4 linked regions of the Drosophila melanogaster genome follow. Changing the gene in region 3 together with the main gene of any one other region gives a genetic interaction. Each region holds a gene or a part of one and is shown on either strand. Other genes may lie near its edges.

What was found.
Region 1: of rst (region 3) and alpha-Cat, changing one enhances a phenotype caused by changing the other (phenotypic enhancement), as found in Drosophila melanogaster (one study listed by BioGRID).
Region 2: of rst (region 3) and X11L, changing one enhances a phenotype caused by changing the other (phenotypic enhancement), as found in Drosophila melanogaster (one study listed by BioGRID).
Region 4: of rst (region 3) and pyd, changing one enhances a phenotype caused by changing the other (phenotypic enhancement), as found in Drosophila melanogaster (one study listed by BioGRID).

What each region holds. Positions count from the first base shown.
Region 1 is NT_037436.4:23,335,091-23,339,939, reverse strand, and holds the start of alpha-Cat (alpha catenin), read left to right. Parts: upstream 1-1,839; 5' UTR 1,840-1,893; coding exon 1,894-2,065; intron 2,066-4,849. Other genes in the region: ND-MLRQ (NADH dehydrogenase (ubiquinone) MLRQ subunit), read right to left, coding at 260-406, 464-505. UniProt on the Drosophila melanogaster protein: Associates with the cytoplasmic domain of a variety of cadherins. The association of catenins to cadherins produces a complex which is linked to the actin filament network, and which seems to be of primary importance for cadherins cell-adhesion properties.
Region 2 is NC_004354.4:17,597,784-17,605,654, reverse strand, and holds the start of X11L (X11L), read right to left. Parts: upstream 6,048-7,871; 5' UTR 5,976-6,047; intron 5,665-5,975; exon of another isoform or gene 5,234-5,664; intron 4,883-5,233; 5' UTR 4,750-4,882; coding exon 4,351-4,749; intron 4,276-4,350; coding exon 3,736-4,275; intron 3,674-3,735; coding exon 3,560-3,673; intron 3,504-3,559; coding exon 2,562-3,503; intron 2,500-2,561; coding exon 2,184-2,499; intron 1,960-2,183; coding exon 1,820-1,959; intron 1,682-1,819; coding exon 1,676-1,681; intron 1,585-1,675; coding exon 1,219-1,584; intron 1,161-1,218; coding exon 684-1,160; intron 614-683; coding exon 473-613; intron 418-472; coding exon 346-417; 3' UTR 1-345. Other genes in the region: CG12991 (uncharacterized protein), read right to left, coding at 7,277-7,408, 7,471-7,644, 7,729-7,871.
Region 3 is NC_004354.4:2,970,789-2,975,390, reverse strand, and holds the start of rst (roughest), read left to right. Parts: upstream 1-1,556; 5' UTR 1,557-1,990; intron 1,991-4,602. UniProt on the Drosophila melanogaster protein: Required for correct axonal pathway formation in the optic lobe and for programmed cell death in the developing retina.
Region 4 is NT_033777.3:8,861,307-8,866,309, forward strand, and holds the start of pyd (polychaetoid), read right to left. Parts: upstream 3,043-5,003; 5' UTR 2,936-3,042; intron 2,228-2,935; exon of another isoform or gene 2,196-2,227; intron 1,700-2,195; exon of another isoform or gene 1,688-1,699; 5' UTR 1,477-1,687; coding exon 757-1,476; intron 647-756; exon of another isoform or gene 574-646; intron 1-573.

The sequences.
Region 1 (4,849 bases), on a different chromosome or scaffold from region 3:
ACATACTTTTCAATGAATCTAGTATAACATCTTACTCTACGAGTAACGGGTATAACTACAACTACAACATAGTATATATTCGTGAAATATATATGTGTAATGGTTATGGCATGTCGGTTAAATCGCCAAAAAAGTAAAAAATTGCAAAAATACATATATCTATAAGCAAATTTGGTTATTAACAAAACCACGGTCGAGGGCTTTTCTTGGCCCATTAAAATATGAAAATAGAATATGAATATTAAGGAGCAAATCTAACCTTGTATTGCTTTTCTTTGTACTCTTGCCATGGTTCGGGATTTGATGTGCGATTCCAAGTGACATCGGGATTACGAGTAGCAAGTCGAGCCATATAGTAGACGGCTCCAATAGCTCCCGCTCCAACGCACACATAAAGTGGAATTAACTGAACAAATTTTTGTTATGCAATCAACAGATAACTTAATATAATCATAAAACTTACAGCTGGATTTTTTTTAAGACTTTGCAGACCAAGACCTTGCATTTTGTCTACGTTATAATTAAAATGTATTTAATATGTAAGAAAGAAACACATTTATAAAAAATTACCTAACTTTACTCAATCCAATAAAACAGAATGGAACTATATATTAGATATGGACATATTTCGATGCCAACAGCGATGTCATCGATGTTTTCCAAACATCGGCAACTCGATGTTGACTCAAACATAAAAATATATGTATTCATAACAGGCAGATGTCATATTATTTTATATGTGACATGCCAGTATTAAGCGATGCTGGTATAGAATGGGAACTCAAAAATCATGCACATAAATATTTTTTTTTACATCTAAGGAATATATTATTTTATATACGTAATTTTTATGCATGCTTGTCGCACAGGTTTTATGTTAGGCTGTCATAATAATTTCAAGCCGCCGGGAACGATATAATCTTCTGAAGTAGTCATGCATTTTTGTTACATTTTGTTTATATGTCGAAAGGATTTTTTTTCAATAATAACAAGAAAAAATGCTATGTAGACTTTCCCGACTATTAAATATCCGTTACTCAGCTAGAGGCAATATGATCGCGAAATATCATAATTTTTCTGGGACACGGATAGAAATTGGTGAATGCAATGAGAAAATATTTAAAATTGTTCAAAAATGTGGGCGTGGTCGTTTTTTGGTCGGTTTGTATCGTTAGAGTGGGCGTGGCAAAAAGTTTTATGACAAATCAATAGAAATTTACAAAACTAATAAATATATGAAAATATATATCAACACAATTTTCAAAAGTGTGGGCGTGGCAGCGTTAGGCGTTAGGTTAATATCATATGGTTAATCTAAGCTTTATAGCTTATATTGTTCCTGAGATCTCGACGTTCATACGGACGGACAGACGGACACGACCAGATCGTGTCGACTACTGATCCCGATCAATTGTTCCAATGCTTCCATCAGCCTATTAGGAACTTTTAAACGATTCTGGTATACCCTATTACTCTACAAGTAACCGGTATAATAATAAACATAGAAAACAACAATCCTGATATGTGTGGAATATGTTAATTCATTAAATGAAATATTTTTGTTGGTAAAAATTAAAAATATTATTAAACTTTTCTCAATCGTCTTCAATACTTGAATATCACATATTTTTCACGAGAGTTCAATCATCAAAAATCAATTTTAATTATTTTCTTAAAGTCATTACTAAAGAATGACTCACAGGACTCAAAACTACAAAACTATTTAACTTATTCATTATATATTGGTTACGTTACGTAGGTCATGTGGCTCAGTGGGACTATGATATATTTAAAGCCCGCATTCTTTACAGCACTGCAAAGTTACAATCCTGGTACTATTAATAATCAGTGGACTACATATTATCGAAAAAGGCGTCGTCGGTTAAAGAATTTATGTTAAAACCTGATAAAATGGGCACGTTAACCGATTTCGGACAGATAGCTTTGAAATGGGATCCCAAAAATTTGGAAATTCGCACAATGTCAGTTGAAAAAACACTTGAACCCCTTGTATTACAAGTAACTACTCTTGTAAATACCAAGGGCCCAAGCAAAAAGAAAAAAGGTAAAATGTTTATAGCTTATAGTGCCTAGAAAACCTAAATATTAGAACTTTCAATTTTAAAGAAACTTTTTGCGAGTCGTGAATAACTGTGCGTATACTCATTTTAATTTTATTAATTATAAGTATTGTGTACATACGAGAAATGATAGAAAATGTTCTAAAACGGCTGTGTATACTATACATACATATTGTGACATCTTAAATTTTGTAGGATAGAAAGCATTTGAATTCATGTAACAAGCTTAAAACTGAAAAGGAATGTGAAAGCATCTTTTACCTCTTTAAACGCAAAATTGCGAAAATATAAAAAAATAGCCTATTAGTGATTTACATATATTTTGATTGTGTTTCATTTTGTTATATGTATATCTTTCCAATTTCTATCGATATGCAATAAAAATGTTCAAATTTATAGTTCGCTTGGCCACTAGCTGAGTAACAGGTATCTGATAGTCAAGGAAATTTACTATGGGGTTCGCTGTAATATATATTTGTTACTCGTAAAGTAAAATGGGGTACTAGATTCGTTGAAAACTAAGTATGAGGTAGAAGAAAGCGGTTCCAAAAAAAAAATATATATTCTAGATCAGGATCAATAGCCGAGTTGATCTGGCCATGTCCGACTTTCTGTCCGTATGACAAAGCGTTTTCATATGAATTCATATTTTCATTAGTCTTTTAAATTTCTATCGATTTACCTTTTTTTTTTATTAGAGTTTATCATTTATTATTAGTCATACGTCAATAGGAATCGTTCAGTTCCTTCTGAACTTAACCTAATGTGTAGCTTAAGAGATATGGATTCCGTTCCTTAATTAAAGTGTATACAAATGTACCGTGGAGAGAATCGATTTATCAAAAAACGTTTTGCAACGCCCACTCTAACGCCCAAAAATTGGTTTTCACACAAAAATGTTTTGGTATTTTTCATACTATTTTATTGATCTTGTAAATCTATTGATATGCCAAAATACCTATTGTCAGGCCCACAAACCGCCCAAACTTTTTGAAAAATATATTTCTTGTTTAAATATAATTATTTCTTTTTCAATTTTTACCGATTTTCCAAAAAAATTGAAATCTTTCACACTTCTAGTTGAGTAACGGGGTATCTGATAGTCGGGGACTCGGTTATAGCATCCATTCCAGTTTTTGTTTTAAGTCATGTCAATTCTTTTTGCAAAACCATTTTGGTCAGGAGAACTATATACAGAACTATCACAGGATGTAAACAGCTGTCAGGCCCTTAAAATACAATAAATTGTTACTTCATATTATTTAATTACTGTTTTTATACCCGTTACTCGTAGAGTAAAAGGCAGAAGGAAGCGTTCCCGACCATTAAAAGTAAATATTTTTTGGGCTGGCTCCAGCTCTCTTGAATTTTTGTTCAAGAGCCAGATTTCGGAGAGCTCTTCAGCCAGCAACTTCATTTTACGCATACAGTGACAGCCGAAAACTTTTTGTGTGTACACGAATACTCATGCATTGTAAATTTGACAAAATATGCCCTACACTTCAGAAGTTTTTGGAATTTAAATCTATATTATTTTTGGTCAATTGGCATTATTTTAAAAATAATTTTTTCCTATTCGTATTATTTTTATGAAATATATTTTTTTAAATGTATTAAACTGTATGTGTTAAACTACAAAAGTAATAATAACTATTCCATATCGCAACTTTTTTTCATTTATAAGTTTAAATATTGATGAACCTAATATTAATGCTGTAAAAAAAAACTTCTCCCAGTCCCCTGTTGAAAACTCCAAACATGTTAATTCGTTTCTTAGATCAAAATTGATTTCGGCCCGAAAATCGTCTTCTAGCACAAGTACGCACACATATACACTTTCACGTTTAAACGTTACTCACACAAGCAACCAAAGTCTATTATTTTACGCTCTCAATATTATTCGAGAGAAAAGAGCACAATCTTGGCCGTCACCAAACAAGTAGCTGCTTAGTGAAAAACCAATGTATGGCCCTTACGCATCTTGTTATTCTAGTGTCTTTGATCTGACCCTGTCCGCCCTTCTGTCTGTCCGTTCGTATGAACCTCGAGTTCTCAGGAACTATAAAAGGTTGAGATTAAGACATTTACGCAGCTCAAGTTTGTTGACCCATGTTGGCACACCTATTCTACCGCCCAGAGCTGCTACGCCTGACCTTTGGAAAAATGTGAAGTTTTTTCATATTTTTATTAGTCGTGGAAATTTCTATAGACTTGCCAAAACTGTATGGTAAAAGAGTATACCAGATTCGTTAAATTCCGACTATATAAAGTATATATATTCTTGATCAGGATCAATAGCCGAGTCGATCTAGCCATGTCCGTATGAACGTCGACACATTAGCTAGAAGGTAAAGCCGCCCTAAAACCGCCCAAAACTGACACGCCTACATTTTTGAACCATTTTTCTATGTGCCTAAAATTTTTTGCCACGCCCACTCTTACGCCCTAATTTTTTATAATTTTTTTAGTCTTGTAAATTTTTATCGATTGACCAAACACTTTTTTTCGCAAGTGCGAGAGTACAAGATAGATAGAGGGCGAGAGAGAGTAGCTTAGACAACGAAAGATAATCGCCTATCTGAGATGCCGTAGAGCTTAATGTTGTGTCTCCAAAGTTGGCATGTTTACAAATAAGAAATTTAGGCATTGCTGGCTGATGCAAGACCCGAAAATCGATTTTATTAATGTGATCATTTGATCATTACTTAATGCCGTTTTGTTTTCTTATAAAAATCTATTTTCGCTAGCCCCATTGCAAACGATTTTTT
Region 2 (7,871 bases), about 15 Mb from region 3:
TGTACACAGATGGACAAAATGAACCAAAAAGTAGCATTTTCTGTAACTCCAGTAATAGTAATCTCTCTATTGCAGTTGTGGTCGCTGTGGACACCTGAACGATTTGACGACGAACAATTAATCTCATTGTAGACTTAATACATTTGCAATTCATTTAAATTAACTACAATTATGCTTGCAATGTGAATACATAAAGACAAATAATCAATGAACAATTTAAGACTAAACAAATTCCAATTTAAGGTCTCTTTGCGAATCGATGTAACTTTAAGCTGGTCAAGTTGCAGTTGACGAATTTATAGTTTTTCGATTCCAGCGTAGGCGTGTGAACAGTTGCATATATATTTATATATAGATTGGCGTCTCTTGACCGGTGAGCAAACGAAACATGGACGTGGGCATTGTCTTCATCAGGATCTGATTGGAAAGGTATTGTTAATATAAGAATAACGAATTTAAAAACGCGTCATACCTCGCCCACTGAGGATGACAACAGCTTGACAATGGTATCGTGTGGCACGGCCACAACGCTCTGGTTGTTAATCTCAATGATGCGGTGGCCTACGCGTACTCCACCCCGCTCAGCGATTCCTCCACGCAAAAGACTGCAGATCTGCATTAAATAAATACATATGATTAGAAGGATTAGAATAAGAAGAATAAATTCAGCATTTTATAATTACCACGCCATTTTGAACACTAAAACCCAACTGGAACAGCGCCTTGGGACGCAGGATCTTAACCTCGACGACAGGCGGACAGGGCACAACGGTGAACTTGACGGCAGTTTGGTTCTTGGCATTGCGTATGTAGCTCTGGCAGGTGGACAGCGGCAGTCCCACCAGGCTCATGCCGTTAATGGCGATCAGCTGGTCACCGATGTTCAGCTGGCCGCAGCGGGCAGCTGCTCCTGAACTCATCAGGTTGGCAATCACCACGGTGGGCAGCATGGATCCCCAGCCACTCTCTACGATCACCACGCCTAGGATCTCGCCTTTCGCCTTCGGCACAACTACCTCCTTTTGCAGCTCCTTTTTGGCAAAGATCTCCAGCTCATCACCGAAAATCTCCTGACTGTTGAGCACCTCCTGGTAGTCCATCTCTTTGGCCAGACTCTCGTTTTCGATGCCGTTCGCCTTCAGGAACTCCATGTAGGCCACCTGGTTAGGTTTTGATTGTTAATTATACGTGCCAATAATATTATTAATATTCGCGTACCTGGAAGGCCTGTCCAATGGACTGAGCTATGAACTGCGCCTCATCGCTTTCGAACACGTGGCAGATCATTTTGGGCGTGCGATTGTGCTTGCTGAGTGGCTCTTTGGGGGGCGACTCCTCCTCGCCTATGCCCGGAGTGGGAACATCACCTAATGGACTGGTGATCGATGGATCCACAACACTATTCGGTACGAATCGACGACGAGCCATCAGCACAACCAGATCGCCAATGTCAGCTATATAGGATATAGTACGCAGCGCATGGTCCATCATGATCTCCTTGAGATCCGTGTTAAGCACCATTATCTTTTCGGTTGATATGAACAGGTCCACTTCAGTGCTCGGCTGACTTTCGCCCTCGGGAGCCTGGTAAAAAAATAGCAAATCATATATTATATAATGCATTTAATTCTTAATGCTATCATTTGACGACTGAAAGGGGCTAACGAACGCTTACCAAAGCCTATCGAGAGGAATGCGCAGCAGGGAACGAGAAAAGCGAACGAGAAAGTTTTTAGACACACACATAGAGCATAACCTAGCGGGGTTTCCTTGAATGGATGTGCTTTCGTGTGCATCACCAGGTTTTCACTTCACTTACCTTGATCCTGGAAACGGCCTCCTCGGCCTGCATCATTCTGGTCGACTTGGTCGGCTGACCCTCGCAGACAAGTTGAGTGGATCCAAGGTATCTGGCCCGAAACAACACGCCCTCAATGAGAACTTTGGGTTCCAAGAGACCTAAGAACGAACATTATTTAAATTAGTTACGAAGTGCGTTAATGGTCTTCATTTCTGATTGTTAATACACATAAGGGTAGTTTAATAAACCTAAACATCTGCTGGGTAACAGAGACTTACGTGATGTCAGCATTAAATAGATTTGAATTGCAGCGTGAAATGTTGAATCGGTTTCCATATCAGTAAACGAACAACAAGGGGCGTTGACAACTGTGCTAACTTACCCTCTTTGTTCCGCGATTTGGCCTTCTTGTCCGAGTTGGCAGAGTCCTTCAGGGATTTAATAGAGCCCGTGGGACTTTTGGTGAACTGCAGTTTTTCCGGCGAGCTTATGGAGATGTCGGTCGTGCCCACAATCTGACAGATGTCCGGCGAATTGGGTGTCAACGAGGTGCCGATGCCTTGTCGAATGGTGGCCGTCGAGTAGGTTTGCGGCTTGCTATTATTCATAGGATTCGGATTGTTGTTGTCCGACGTGCCATTTAGATGCCCATTGCTGGCAATATCCGTGCCCTCATTGGCATTGTTATCAGCCAGGCTCTGTAAAATTATTATTTCGTAATTATTTTGAGCTGATATCTCTGTAAGTTTGCATTCCTCACCTGATCGGCGAAGAAATCCTGCTCATCGTGCCTCTGCTGACCCAATAGACGATCTGTTTCAAGGTCGGTGTCTGGTTCCTCATCCGCCGCCGCACCTTGGGCCGTCGAGATCGTCGTCCCTTTGCGTGGAACCCAAACCGGTGAATCTGGATCCGTGGGCAGCACTTCGTCACAGAATTTTAGTTTTTCAGGCTGCGTTTTAGCACGCTGCAAGGCGGAACGTATCTCCTTCATGGCCTCCTGGATTTCCGAAGCAGCCTGCGATGGCAAAGATCCTCCCGCAGTTACTGGTGTCACCCCCAGTCCTGATCCCGCTGACTTCTCTGTGTGAGTACCTCCCAAAGCTGCTGCATAAACCGCACCGTAGTGACTGTCCAGTGGATTATCAGCATCTGGGACCATGGTCATGGATTCACTTGCATCGGCGATCTCGATTTGGGGCGGCGATGATGGAGGCGGAGCCGGGGGCATGGGCAGTGAGGCGAAGTCGCTTATCAGCGCCGATTGCGAGGCATCTGTGGTCAATGTGGCCAAGCTGGCGCTCATCACATTGTAGTCGTTCTCCAGCCGCTCGCCATTACCGTTGTGCTCGTGGACGGGCTGAGATTGGGACGATTGCTGCTTGTCACACACCACGGATACGTTGTTCTCCGTGTCGGAGGCGTGGCCACTGCTCAGGCCATCTTCTAGGACAGGCATGCTCGTATACAGTTTACCAAAATCCGTGGGGCAGTTAATGTCGTTAGACAGACTGTCCAAATCACCGCAATTCGAATCGTAATCCGTCGTCTCGGGAGACAGGGTAAAGTTTCGGGAGTGTCGGCGCAGATTTGCCTCCAGTTCGGTGTCCGCCAAATCGCCGCTGCTTCGGCTATTCGAATCAATGTACAGCTCAATATCATTATGCTCCTGGTAGGCCGTCGATGGATTCTGGTCACTGGGCTAGAAATCGAACAATCGTTAGCTATTTTAATGAATTTCATTTCGTTATGACTCACTGGCTTTTTAGTAGGCGACCGGTGAACCATGTAGAGCTCATCTTTAGGTATTCTCGCCAACCGCTGTCCTATATATGCCTGCTCCATGGGCGTGGCTGGGTACTCTTGTGGCTGCTAGTCAATCAAAATGCAATATTAAATGGGTTTCTAGGCTTCTTGGAAGTAGTAGTACTCACCGAGCTAGCGACATCGTCTCCACTTTCCGTGGTGTAATCCGTGTACCGCTTTTCGTCCTCCGGATTCGCCTTGAAGAACTCCTCCAGCACCTTTCTGGTCTCTGAGAATTCGTACAGGTAGTCGAAAGTAGGTGTTTTCTCGCGAAGCGTCCCGGAACGCTCTTCCTCGTGGTCGACCAAATCGATAAGGTTGCCCACGGATGCTTTAGCTGCAGCAGTTGCATTATTAGCGACACTGGTGGTGGGCGAAACTCTTTGCGGGAAACCCGGCGGACGTTTTCTAGGACCACCCATGGTAATGGTATTTGTATTCGGTTGACTTCCAAATCGTCGCGGTGAACCCTCGTACTCGGCTATTGGCAGCTGTCCAATCATTTTGGTCACCTTGAGGACATCCTCATTGCTGCCTGGACGCTGGCCACTCGATGCCTTGTTCATCCAGTTTGTGTCAATGTCGTCGAACACCACGATCTCACCATCACGCAGGCACTGACCGTCCGCCTTGCCCACATCCGTTGGTGAGCCGGGGCTGGCCAATCCCTTAAAGAAAAAGCAGAAAAATCTCATTGTAGTGACTGAAACTACGCCTCTAAGTAATTCTCCAAGTTAAATTACCTGTGGCAGGACATCCCGTGTCTCAAACTGGCTGCCCGGACTCCTACCCAGTCGGATTTGATGCAACTGCGGTCGCTGGTAGTAATAGCTGCCAGAATCGCGTCCCGCATTCGAACCATAGCTGCCGGATCCCTGAACACCTCCGCCCGATGGCGAAAGACCCTGCAGCGGAACGTAGGACAGCTCGCCATTGAGATCCGGCGAATTGAGCACCGTGCTGGCTGGCGTCACATTTGGGCTACGGGTTCGCATCTCCCACACATAACGTTCCTGCTGCTGCTGCTGCTGCTGGTGCTGATGCGATTGCTGCTGCTGCGCCTGCTGGCCAAAGTTCATCTGTATGTGCGGTGGATTGACCATGGACTCGTTACTGCTGTCACTGCAGGAGTTTGAGTTCATGGCTGCACCAACAACTTTGATTCTCCAGGTATGAGGGACTGCGGCTTCGATACTACTACAACTACTGCTCTAGTGCTGCTGCTGCTGCATCCGCTGCTGCTGCTGCGATTGCTGCCTCACTGTGGGCCACTGCCTGGGGGAGAATGGATGATTAGTCGATGATCTAAGGCGGCAATGATTCACTGCGCTGCAGCTCAGCCCAGAAAAAAATCAGGGACAGGTGGTCGTGTCGATGACGTACTTTTGCTGGATACCTTGCCGCTGCGTACTATATATTTAAATCGACATAGAAATACCTGGATTACCGGGTGTGTTTAGACATACGCGATACGGACAACAGGAACCAGCACAGTAAAATGCCAATCTATAAAATTGCTGATTTGTTATTTTTGGACCTAAGCCTATTGCTTTAAATTGGGTTTGCCCCAATCATTCCCTAATCATTCTCATGTGTATTTGTATCTTATTACAGGTCCTAGCTCACCTCGTTAAATGTAATTGAGTTTAGCTAATAATAAGTATTCCATTGTTTCGAGCTTCGGTTTGTTGCTGCACTGGTTTGGTAACCTCTGGTTGTGGTGACCCCCTGGCTGGCCAGCGCAATCAATGCGGGCAATTAACCCACTATTGCCTGTCCATGTGTCTATATGTGGACACCTTTTTTAGGGCCCCCCGCCGCGGTTGCCACTGACCGAGCTTGCGAGTTTCCGAGTTCCGGAGCTACCGTGTCCGTGGTTGATTGCGCACACGTAAACTTGGCCTCCAAAAGTCCTCGCGCAGGCAAAACAAACGCAGGAAGCTGCAGCCAGACACAACAACCACCCACGCGAAGGTTGAAGGATGTGTGGTGGGTGGTGCAAGTGGGTGGTGCCAGGGGGCGATGGTGGTGCTGGTGCTAGCCCTTTGTTGTCGCCGATTGTTGCAATCACTCAGCACTTTGGAGGCGTGGGAAAAAAACAAACTCCCCGTTACCGTTATGTGTATCTATCCATGTGCGTATTGTTAAAAATCAATAGATTTGTCGTATTTTTTTTGCAGCTCCTTTGCTTTTCGTTTCGTTATTTTTTGGTGGGGGCACCGCACAACACAACACACTCATGCACACACTCGTCGCATAACGACGCACACACGCAGCGCACTCGAGCAACAACAACTGAAACGGCGGCAACAACAACACGGCCAGCAAATAGGCACGAAAACAACACCTGTCGCGGTTTTATATTTACCATTTAATTCATATTTATTGCACTACTCCTTCAGCAACTCGATTGGCGCAGAGCGATTGGCAGCAATATAGATAGTCTCTGCTAGAACATCGATGGCCTATCGATTGCTATCGACAGCGAACAGCCGGACAGTGTTGAGCAGCGTTAGAGGGTACTATTCAATTCGTACCTAAGTAGGTGCTAAAAGCCATTTTAAACATATTTAAATATGTTTCCTTCTCCACCCCAGCTTTACTTGACTTTACCCTTTCTCCTGTACCTTGCCCTAATTACGCGGTACCGTCTACTTTTCCAACACTCCTTGTACGATGAATTTCCCGCGCCAATTGATAACACTTTTTCGAATAATATCAGTTTAGCATTTAATGATTAATGTACTCCATCTGGGTTTTGTTTTTCGTTTAATATTTGCAACATTCGAACGGATAGTACAAGTACAAGTGGTGTATAAAAGTTCGATGAGCAAAATTGACAAGGATTGTGTGGCAGTAAACAGTTTTTCTTGTTCTTCGTTAGCTTATAATTCGTTTTATATATTTGTGTATATTGAAACAATTTCTTGCAGTCTTGCCAGAATTTCAGTGATAATAATTCGTTCGTTCAAGATTTATCAAGCAATTAAAATTTTAACAGCAAGTTTTGTTTTTCCATCGAAAACTTAATGAATTAAGTTAGGAATTAGACACGGATTATTTTCCCAAAAATTCTAGCAACACCGGTGTGTGGTTGTGTGATGTTTTCTTTTAATTGTTGTTTGCTTGCTTCGCTTTTAATACATTAATTACAGTGTAAAGTTGCTCTATAGGCTAAACTGGAAGGAATGATTGCATTTAATTGTTGGACACAAAGTTGGAAACTTAATAAATAGTGTTTTCTAAAATTAGACTTGGGTTGGGAAGGGCGATAAAATAGTCAACAATATAAATAAGGTTTAATAATTAACTAACAGATACGAGTACAATGGGTTGGTTTACAAAAATCGGGTTAGTGGGGAAGTTGTTAGGGAAAGGCTTTAACTAACAGTCAAGGCCAACAAAAACATTGCGCACTTAGGATCTACACGTACACTAAACATAATTTTGGTAGTTTTGGGCTTAAACTAGTTGCTCGTTTGGTTGCCTAACATTAGTAAATACATACACGCGCTTAAAAACTACGCTACTTAATGATTATGATGTCTGGTTGTCAAATCAGGAATGGAATTTTAACAGCGAAACGAAACAGAATCGTAATCGAAATCGAACCAAAGACGTACAATAAATGATAGAGGGGATTGGACTTCCAACGGGGAAGGCCGGAGATTAAAGCTTTGTATGTTTGACCGTATCCGTCCAGTAGTTCTGTATTGTCATCGCCTCCAGCGAATTGAGAAACGAGTCGTTGTCCAGGCTGTACATCTCATCCGAATTGTCCTGCAAAATCAAGAGAGAGAACTATTTAGTGCATAGGACATTCAAGCGCCACTGGCAATTGGTCAACGAATCCTTACACTCACCCGCATCGTGCTATCATCGATATAGACACTCGAGTCTGGTTCGCTGAGCGCCTGCGGTTTGTTCAGATACCGACGACGGTACAGTACGATCCCAATGGTGCCCACTGTGCAGCAGACGCCGAAGACAGTGAAGCAAATCGCCGAAATGGCACCCGCATCCAGGAAGTACGTTCGCTGGAAATGGAAAAAAAAGCATGTTACTTTTGAAACCAATTTTTCAAATGATATCGAATTTAGCAATGATTAGTTTTCACCTACCTGAATGGCCAGTGCCTCGGATGAGATATTGCCCTCGTCGCCGACGCCTCCGTCGTAGAACCCGGATCCGGCCACGCCCCCCGCCACGCTGGGCGCCGCGGAGGCGGATCTGGTCAGAAGACTCTTGGTGTCGCCGGAGAAGT
Region 3 (4,602 bases):
AACAATTTTGGACTACGCATATGTAGAGGAAATGCCCTGACTATGCAACAACGTTCGCCTTATCTTTCGTCTTTGTGTAAATTTAGAGCGCAATGCATTGATATTCCCATACGGCGGCCATAAATTACATGACAATTACTTGGGGAGCCGAAGAAAATCAGCGGTGCTTGGAAAATCCCCCCTCGAAAAGGCAAGCAATGCGTGGAAAGAGGCGCGAAGAGAGAGCGGAAAATTGGAAGAGAGCCGACACTTCATCACTCGCTCCGAATTTTCCGATTTTCCGGCGGTGCCTCCCTCACACGCGTAGTTTAAATTGCGTTCGCAGCAATCGTGCCATAAATTTCCCTTCCGAAACTTGTTTATTTTGGTCTTGCATGTCTCCAGTGCCGAAATCTTCCCATCCAACAGTCCATCTTCATCGCTGGTAGTATCTTTGTATCTTTTGTATCTCCCTATCTCTCGTGGAGCGCACAGCTTGTGTATCGATTCAATTATGGGAAAACTTAGAATCAACTCATCATGCAGTCGATTGATTAACAAGTCGCACCTAGTAAAATGGCTCCCACAGTGTTTGAGTTTTCAGCTGAGCTTGGCTTTACTACAAGTGTGACATTTGAAATGTTCTTAAGCCAACTAAAATTATGCATGCAGCAAAAAGCGCAGGAATGTTGGCACTTCAAAAAAGGGCTGCTTAATGTAAAAATTAAGCTAATTTAATGATAAATTAATAGCTTCTTTTTGAAAATCATGTTAAACACTTCTCTGTGTGGTTCCCATGGGATTTCCGCCGTTTTGTCAAGCCACAGATTTGGACTTTTTACTCAAATTGCTCTGTAGAGGACCATATGTCGCTCTTCACAGCCCTTCTGGCATTCCACAATCGGAAGAAAGACTGCAGATTTCTACCAAAACGGGAAGAATTGTGGGTGCGAAGAAGGAGGAGAGATTGGTGAACAGCTGCTGTCCCGACAGCATTGACCTCTTGACGGCCAATTCTCCTACTTTATCTCAATCTGCAGTGTTTAAAGGGTTTATACTTTATGTGATCTTTTTTTTTTTGTTTTTTATCTTCTCCGGCAACAGTTGGTGGTCCACACTTTTGGCGGAAGGTGGCGCTGCTAACAGCAAATCAGAGTGCAATTAAGGCCAAAAGACAGATGGCCAAAAATCGTGGCACATCGGCTGGCAATATCCCCAAATTTGCGTGCACAGAAACAAAAAAGATATGTATAGCGAACACTAAATTGATTCGTATAAATAATTTATAATATTTTTTAATATAATTTATACATTGCATCTGAAAACTTATAGTAAATATATGATATGAAAACATATATCCCATATATATGGGAATTTAAAAAAACATTGGCTGCCAAACATAATCCAAATGAATAACAACATAGAACAGAGGTTGCATCGAGCCGCGCTGTTAGCCCTGTTGCATGCTGTTAGAGCCTGAAACACCACTTGCAACATCATCGAACATGTTGCGTCGCTTTGTTTTGTTTGAAGACAAGCCGCGCCGGCCGAAGAAGTCGGATTTTTGGATCGAGTTCGCACTTCGTTCCGTTCGCTCGTACCGTTCGCTTCGTAGCGGCGGAAACTCCGTACTTTCGATAGCTGGTATCTCACAGATACTTTTCGAGACCCCGAAGACGAGAACTCGCATCGCATATTCGCCCGAGAAAACTCTCAGTAAATCTCAGATAATTAAAACGAAATATATAACTAAACGTCAATTTTTTTTTTGGTGCAAACGCAAGCCAAAAAATTTCATTTTGGTGTGGATTACCAGTGGAAAAGTGTGTGCTTAAAATGGAATAAACAAGGCTATCATAAAAACAAAGCCCGAAAAACCAAACAAGCTGAAAATTGTCAACCCAACAATTATGGATTAGTGCCAGTGGCCGGTCAGAGTCAGTTAAAAATATATATGCATATAAGAGGACTAAGGAGCCGAAATTGTTTAAATTGATTACAAACAAACAGTGTGAGTAAAAAAGTTCATCAGTAAAATCTAAAGAAAACTCCTGTGCTTTTGGCTTTTTTCATGCGCCAACTGCAACAGCTGCTCCCTCACTTTGACCTTTTCGTTTGATTTTGTTTATAATATACTGTTACTGGCCAAGTCTCCGCCTCTTTTGGCCCCTCAAAAGTTTCGCTTTTGGCCACTTTGGCATTTGGATTTCGAGTTTGCTTGAGTGTATTTTTTTTTTTTTCGAAGAAAATATATGTGTTTTTAATTGAAAATGGAAGCATGATTTTTGGTTGTAAGTAGACTTTGTTAAAGCAAAATTTATATTTTCCTTTCTGCCTAATGAAATGCCCAATGGCAAGTACTAGTTGCTGAAAATATTAAAATGTAATAAAATATAAAATAAATTAAATTACCATCTTTCGAATAACGTTTAGATCTTATCAATCTGAAAATGAGGTTTATTATACAAAATCTATGTTAAGTTGTATATCACAGATATACTTTCCCCTCTACAATAATAGATCTTCAACTCCAGACCTTGGACACCTAATTAGCTTCTTCTGACCATTCCATCCCTCTGAGCATCTATAGAAAAAAGTGCTCTTCTTAACTGATTCGATCTCTTCTTTCCTTGGTTTTGCATGATTTATGATTTAAAGCAATAACTTTGAAAAACAAAATGTACAAAGCTAGTCAACGATTAGGCATTTCGTAAGCACTTAAGTTGAAAAATTAATATTAAATGTATAGAATGATTTTTTGTTCGTATACAAGTATGTACACAAACAAAAAATCTACTTGAATATATGCTAAACAATGCTAAAATCATTCTGAATAATTTACGGCAAACGATAAACTTTAATGAGTATAACATTCAACTTCAAGTTTTAATCTACATAATAGGCAATGTATATTAAATGTGCGCTTTGGTGTAATTCTTTAATGCGTATATTTATTTATAACATTCGAATGGTATACCTATTTCAATGGTTTATTTCTGACATTTATGGATTAATTCATTTGGTTTTAAGTAAATAAATTTGCAAATACATTTAATTCCTTTTGTCATTGATTAAGTGAAATGCCAGTAATTCGACTCTCTTATTGACACATTCAAAAATCATAAATCAATTATTCCAAATCCAATAGAAATTTATTTATTACTCATAAAATTTTTCTCTGTGTAACTCCCCCCAGCTGTAAGCGAAGAAAATGTTGCTAGCGGCTGTGGTGTTAAAGAACAGAAATGCGAGCTAAAGAAGCTGAAGGCCCAGAAGCTTTACCAATACATCGATACATTGCACACAGATACTCAAACATCTGCAAATGCATATACAAGCGTATCTTCAGACTCACGCACCTGTCCCTTGTCATTAAAAAAGCAAGCAAAGTTTCAATCTTCTTTGGCAAGCTAACCTTTTACTTACTCTGCTCCATCCTCTGGGTTCATATATGTCGCATGATAAACACCGGAAAAATATTGATTGGCTGGGAGATTTGCTAAAGCACGATTAAGAAAACTAGTCTCAAAAAAAGTTAGTCTTTGACCAGAAAAAGTATTTGTTCTTTTTTTTTTTAATTGAAATTAACTTATTTTCATACTTATTTATCTTGATTGAAGCTCCTATAAATTCATTTTGAATAACGTTATTAAGTTTTTTGGTTTGAAAACAAAAAGAAAAAATATTTTTAAAGTGTATTTGGGAACGTGTGTGTAGCTTTTGGATTTTATAATTTGGCCCAATTTGCTGGCATTGCAAATTGCTAAAAACGTCTGAAACAATCGACAGGAGGAAATTGGGGAGTGTGGGAAAAGGATGGCAAAAGAGGCGTTCGGTAGGCGTGGCAGGAAGTGCAACATGCTCATGTCGCAAGTTGTTGCTGCCGCCTGTATTTCTCCTGCACTTTTTGTTGCTGTGTTATCGATTGGCGAGGCCGCATTTGTTGGATCGTTTTGACGCGTCCTCGTCAGCATGTCGAAACTTATTTTTCCTTTTCAATTTCGCCCTGCGATTTTGCATTTTTTTTGTTTTTTTTTTTTCGCCTGCCTGTCGCTTTGTTAGTTCTTTGCATGCCACAAATTATGTTCGTCACCCCCTTTTGCCCCACCGCGCTGGATGGATTACCTTGAGAGCGGAGCTGTCAGGCTTTTTGACAGTTTCTGCCGTATCGGTTCCACCGATTTGACTGCTGCGCTCATCCGTTTTGCCTGTTTTTTTTTTTTGTTTAAGAAAGTGCTTCGTTTAATGAATAATTGGTATTTTATATCATTTAGGTACAATAAGAAAAGACTTATTGCCTGGTATTTGCATCTGCCAGCTAATTTCTCATCTCATCTCTAAAAAGAAATGCAGACGAGGGCATTCGAAAGGCAAGCAATTTATCCCTTGGTTAATTTGGTTAATTGAAGACAATTGAGGGCCGCTTTGCAGTTCATTAAGCCTCATCAGCGTTGAGAAATGGGGCCCAGAATCCAGAAGTCCAGAAGTCCGAATCCCAGATCCAGTTCCATCTATACTTTCCATTTCCAGATCTGTTGTCTTGTCGCCAGACTAATTAAAATATTTGCACTCAAATGCTTAAGCAATAAATATTTGTCAAGCCATCATCATTAGGAGGAGGCT
Region 4 (5,003 bases), on a different chromosome or scaffold from region 3:
CCATTTCCATTAATGGCCCCAAGCGAAATTTTGAACATCATTAATTTTAATTTTTGCGCAGACGCACCCCAGGGGCGGTAGGCTTCACTGCCTCCATTCTGGACACTGCAGACAAGCCACGAGTGATGACTGATGATGACCTGGCGGAACGAGCCACACTACCTCCATACATACATCCACGAATGTAATTAAGGTGGCCAAATGGAAAAAAAAGGTGCCACAGCGACAATTGAAAGTGTTGCAACGCGAGTTGACAAATTTCGATGTTGCCCAAGAGCAATGCAATGCGGTGATTGATGGCTGAGGTGGTGGTATTCAATGGCGTAAAGAATTTTAATATTAGGAAATCAAGGAATTTCCCTTAAATATATATATTCTATCTGAGGGGTAAAATAACCAACTTTAAGTCCTGTCATAAAGATTTTTATATTTACTGTTTTTAACGTAGAGTTCTAGATTTATAATCTCAAATGAGGTATTCGGATAAAAAACGATTTAGCAACTGTTAACGGTGAACTAAATTATTTGTAAAGCCCGTCTTTATGTTAGTCATATTTTTCAGAGTTGCCAACTGACCGTGTGGCCTAATGGATAAGGCGTCGGACTTCGGATCCGAAGATTGCAGGTTCGAGTCCTGTCACGGTCGTAAAATTAACTTTTTTCTTTTGTATCCAGAATTTTTTTTATTTATTTTATGAAAATGAGATTTGAGGGCATTTGGTTGCATTTATCACACTTTGTAAGTCTGTATCTCACCTTCTTGAAGCGCCTTCGCTGCGATGAGGAGTGCGTCGATGCAGTTTCGAGCAGATTGCTGTTGTTATCCCCCCCATCCCTTTTGCCCAGTGCCTGGAGAAGATCGTCAACGTTGCGTATATAGGGGCGATCTCGATCCCCGCCGCGTTCCCTTTCCTTTTCGCCACCCCCTCCACCGCCGCCCATGCAGCTGGTTATGCTCCGATTGCCCACACTATTGCTACGCGATCGGGATCTGGTCTTTTGCTTGCCCAGCCAGTAAACCTGATTTGCCAAATTTATTTCGGCGGCTGCCGCAGCCTTTCTTCTGCCCAATTGTTGTTGCTCCTGCACCTGTTGATGCTGCTGCTGCTGTTGTTGCTGCTGCTGCTGTTGTTCACTGGCCAGATATTCGCCGGCTATATGAACCTTGGGTGCACTAACCAACTGCAGGCCAGTGGCGCCGAATTGCTGAGGGAATTCGTGCAACTCGAGGGGGAAACGGGGATCCATGGTCTGACCCGGTTGACGCGGGTACATATAGCCATCGCGTAGAAACATCTTGCTGGTGGTATAGACCCTATCCGCGATTTGGTACACTCCACTCGAGCCGGGACCCTCGGCGCCGCCAATAATTCCATTTCGGACATAGGCTGTCGGGCGATAGCGAACGAGTGGGTTATATACATTCGATTTGGGGGGTTTCGTTTTGAAACTGCGACGTCGCGTGCTGGGCTTCATATTTTTGTTGTATTTAATTTTCGTTTTTGTTCGTTTGTATTTGCACCCCGCGATAACAGAATGTTTGCTCTACAGAAAATCCACCCTTGTGCTGTAGGTTGCTTGCACACGTATCAAATGTTTTCGAGTTTAAGCGTGCTTGGAACAAGCGACCGTGTGGCCTAATGGATAAGGCGTCGGACTTCGGATCCGAAGATTGCAGGTTCGAGTCCTGTCACGGTCGAAACCAAAGTATTATTTTTTTTTTGTGAGAAACTTATGTTTTGTTCTTTAAAAAATTCAATTTGTTGCAAACTAAAACCATAAAATAAATCAACAAAAACAACAAAAATTTTAAGGTTCACTTGGCTAATTTTACATAAAATCTACACTGTCTTTAGACTGACGATAGAATGTTTTATGATTACATGTAAAATTAGATCACGCAAAATTATATTTTTTTCCTTTGGAAATATATAAAAAAAAAAAAAATAAAACCAGATTAGTGTTTCAAGGGTGTTGAGTTAATTTAGAGACTTTTTGTTCTTTTTCAAATGTAATTTTCGACCGCGTAAAAGTATGCTATAGATATGGTTGAATTATTTTTCATGGCGTTCTTGTTTAACAGCGCACAAAAGCAGGCAACATTTGTGTTTTTAAAAACGCCTGAGAGAGGCCAATAAAAAAGAGATAAACCCTATAAACTATATTGAAAATAACCGATTTTTTAAGGGTTTTACGCGACCAACACGTTCGGCACACTGCACGTTCGATTTTCCACTGCAATTGTTTGATTTTATTGCAACAACTTTTTCTGCTTTTCTGTTGTTTGCTGGAAGGCACGCACTGCCAATCCAATTAGCCGGGGTTCACCTTTCGAGCCGTCGTCTTTGCGCAAGGTAAATTGTTTTTCGAACCCAAAGTATTGACACAGTTTGCGAGTCACTTGTTTTGTTAGACACATTCGTCTTCCTGAACTGTCAACCGAGCTGTCATATGGATGAGACAGAATGGAGAATAGAGAGAAAGAGAGCCATGCTAATCTGTCAACTCTGAGTTCGTTAATTAAAGACTGATTTGGCAAATAATTGTGGCTTAGCCCTGATCGACCCCAATACCAATTTACAAGCTCAAAACATTGCAAAAACTCAAAGGTACCCCGATTGGGTCAATGAATGTGCGGTCTATTGAACTTTTGATAGTATTATTGACGCCCCTTTTTCACTTAATGATTGCGAATTGAGTTCAGCCGTCGGAAAATACTTTCAAGGTTATCTTACAGGGATCATAAATATAATATCCAAATTTATAGTTAAAAACTAAGTGGAAAAGATGTGGCCAAATATAAATCCCTCTGTCTAAGTGCACATTTTTCTTGTTTAATATATTCAAATTTTCCCTTTCTTTTATCACTTCTGTCACTCCACTTAATTCAATGGCCCTTCTCAGTTTCAATCTGTCAACTTCCTATTATTTCCACCTTATCTGTTTGAGGTTTGTCTTTCTAACACTTCCGCCTACGAAAATCGTTTATTTTTGGTGTGGATTTCTTTTCGTTTCAATCGCGACGAGGCTCAAATACGAACTAAACTGAAATGAATTCAATGAATTTGAAGAGCCTATCGGACACGAGAACATTTTCCAATGGATAGCGTTTCCAGCCGGAGAAGAATACAAGAACAAAAGTGATTGCGATAAAGCTTGGACTGAGCTGAGCAGAGCCCAAGTGAAATGAGACGAAATGAGGGGCTTAAGCCAAACAAATACACCCCTTAAAAGCGTAAATTGTGAAATGGGGCAGATGTTTGGGGGAAAAAACCAAGAATGAAAAGGTTTGAACGATGAACCTCGAGCTATTTTAAAACCACACCCAAATATTTAATACATATCAATCAAGTTCTATGATGTTATGACAAAAAATGGTTTGAGAAACTCTATTTTGTTTTAAGAGGCTCCAAAAGATTTTTATGTTTCTAATTCCATGGAAATACGTATATTTTCTTTGCATAAATCATTGTACTTACAAAGAATTCATCTTCGATGACGGGATCGGCCAGCATCTCAATGGCCTCCGTCATGGATCTGCAGGTGCGATTCGTGTTCTTCTTCTTCTTGAGCTTCCGGCCCAAGGTGGCGGCATCGCTGAAGCGATGAAGCAGTTTGTCCCTCTTCCGGACCGCCAGCGGACTGGTCGTCGAACTGGCGTGACATAACAGCGATCCGTAGCCATTCGTAGAGGATATGGTGCCAGTATTAGCGTAGAAATTCTGCGGTTGATATTGCGCCGGAGCAGTGAGTGTGCTGTTCGAGTCGATTTTCTGTATGAGATTGTACTCGGATTGGGGATATTTGCTGGCCAAATGCGATACAGAATCCGCTTTGGAACCCAATTGCGGCTTGGGTGGCGGCGGTGGCGGTGGATCCTTCATCAAGGCCACCCGACGGGGGGCGGCGCGGGGTATGGTGGCCGAATGGGGGGAGGAGGTGGCGTCACCGCCATAACTAACAGCGCGACGATTGCGATCGTTTTCCTTTTCCCTGAAAGGAAATTTAAATTTAATTTATTAGAATTTTCAATGTATGTTTTACTTGATAATAATAGAACTAAATATGTTTTAAGTACTAAACACAATGTAAATCTACCTATAACGCCTCCTCTGCATCGGTGGACTAAAGAAGAAGTTGGGCGACAGGGGTACAAAGTAACCCCATTGGGGATCTCGATTCGGTCCCTCATGATACATGCCCAACTGGGGCGTCATCTCCCTGGATCGACTGGATCTGAGAATGGGCATGGAAACCCTCTGTGGTCCGAAACTTCTATTAGAGCGATACCGATTCCTATACATATGACGCTCCAGTGAAGATGTGGTGGTCGTAGCATCCGATTCCAGGGTGCAATCCGAATGATCCTTGTTCTCCAGGGTCACATTACTGCCCAGCTCATCGTCATTATCATCATCATCATCCGTGGAACACTCGGGCACCGTATAGCAGGCATAGTCGAATTGCGACATTGTAGAATCGTTTTTCTTATGTCTTTATTTGTTTGGCTTTTCGTTTGCACACACATTTAGTTCTTTGTCATTGTGTCTTTGCGACTCCCACGTAAAATGTTTCAATTATTTAATTAGTCTGCAACTTGTTGCTGTTTTTTATTTGAGTGCTTTACTTTTATTTTTACCTGACAAATGTTAAATGACATTTTCAGTTGGTCTGGCACTTAATTGCTCCACTAGAGTTTGGTCATGTCTTGGATATTTTCTGGTGGCAAAAGAACATTATTTAAGGCATTTATCATGTTCACCCTCTGGACAATTGTGCTTCCCGCCAGAAAAAAATTTCAGGGGTTGTGTATGTCCAGTGGGCACAATTAAAAGTCGTTTTCGGCCTCTGTTGAAAAGTTCGCCTAATGAGGTGTTGAACGGAAGACGTTCTAGTTATGATACTTAACTTGGCCACGACTTTTTACAGACAATTTACTACGGTCCGAAACACAAAAGAAATCAGTGGGAAAGCTAAAAGGGCATTTAACCGAAAGTATTTCA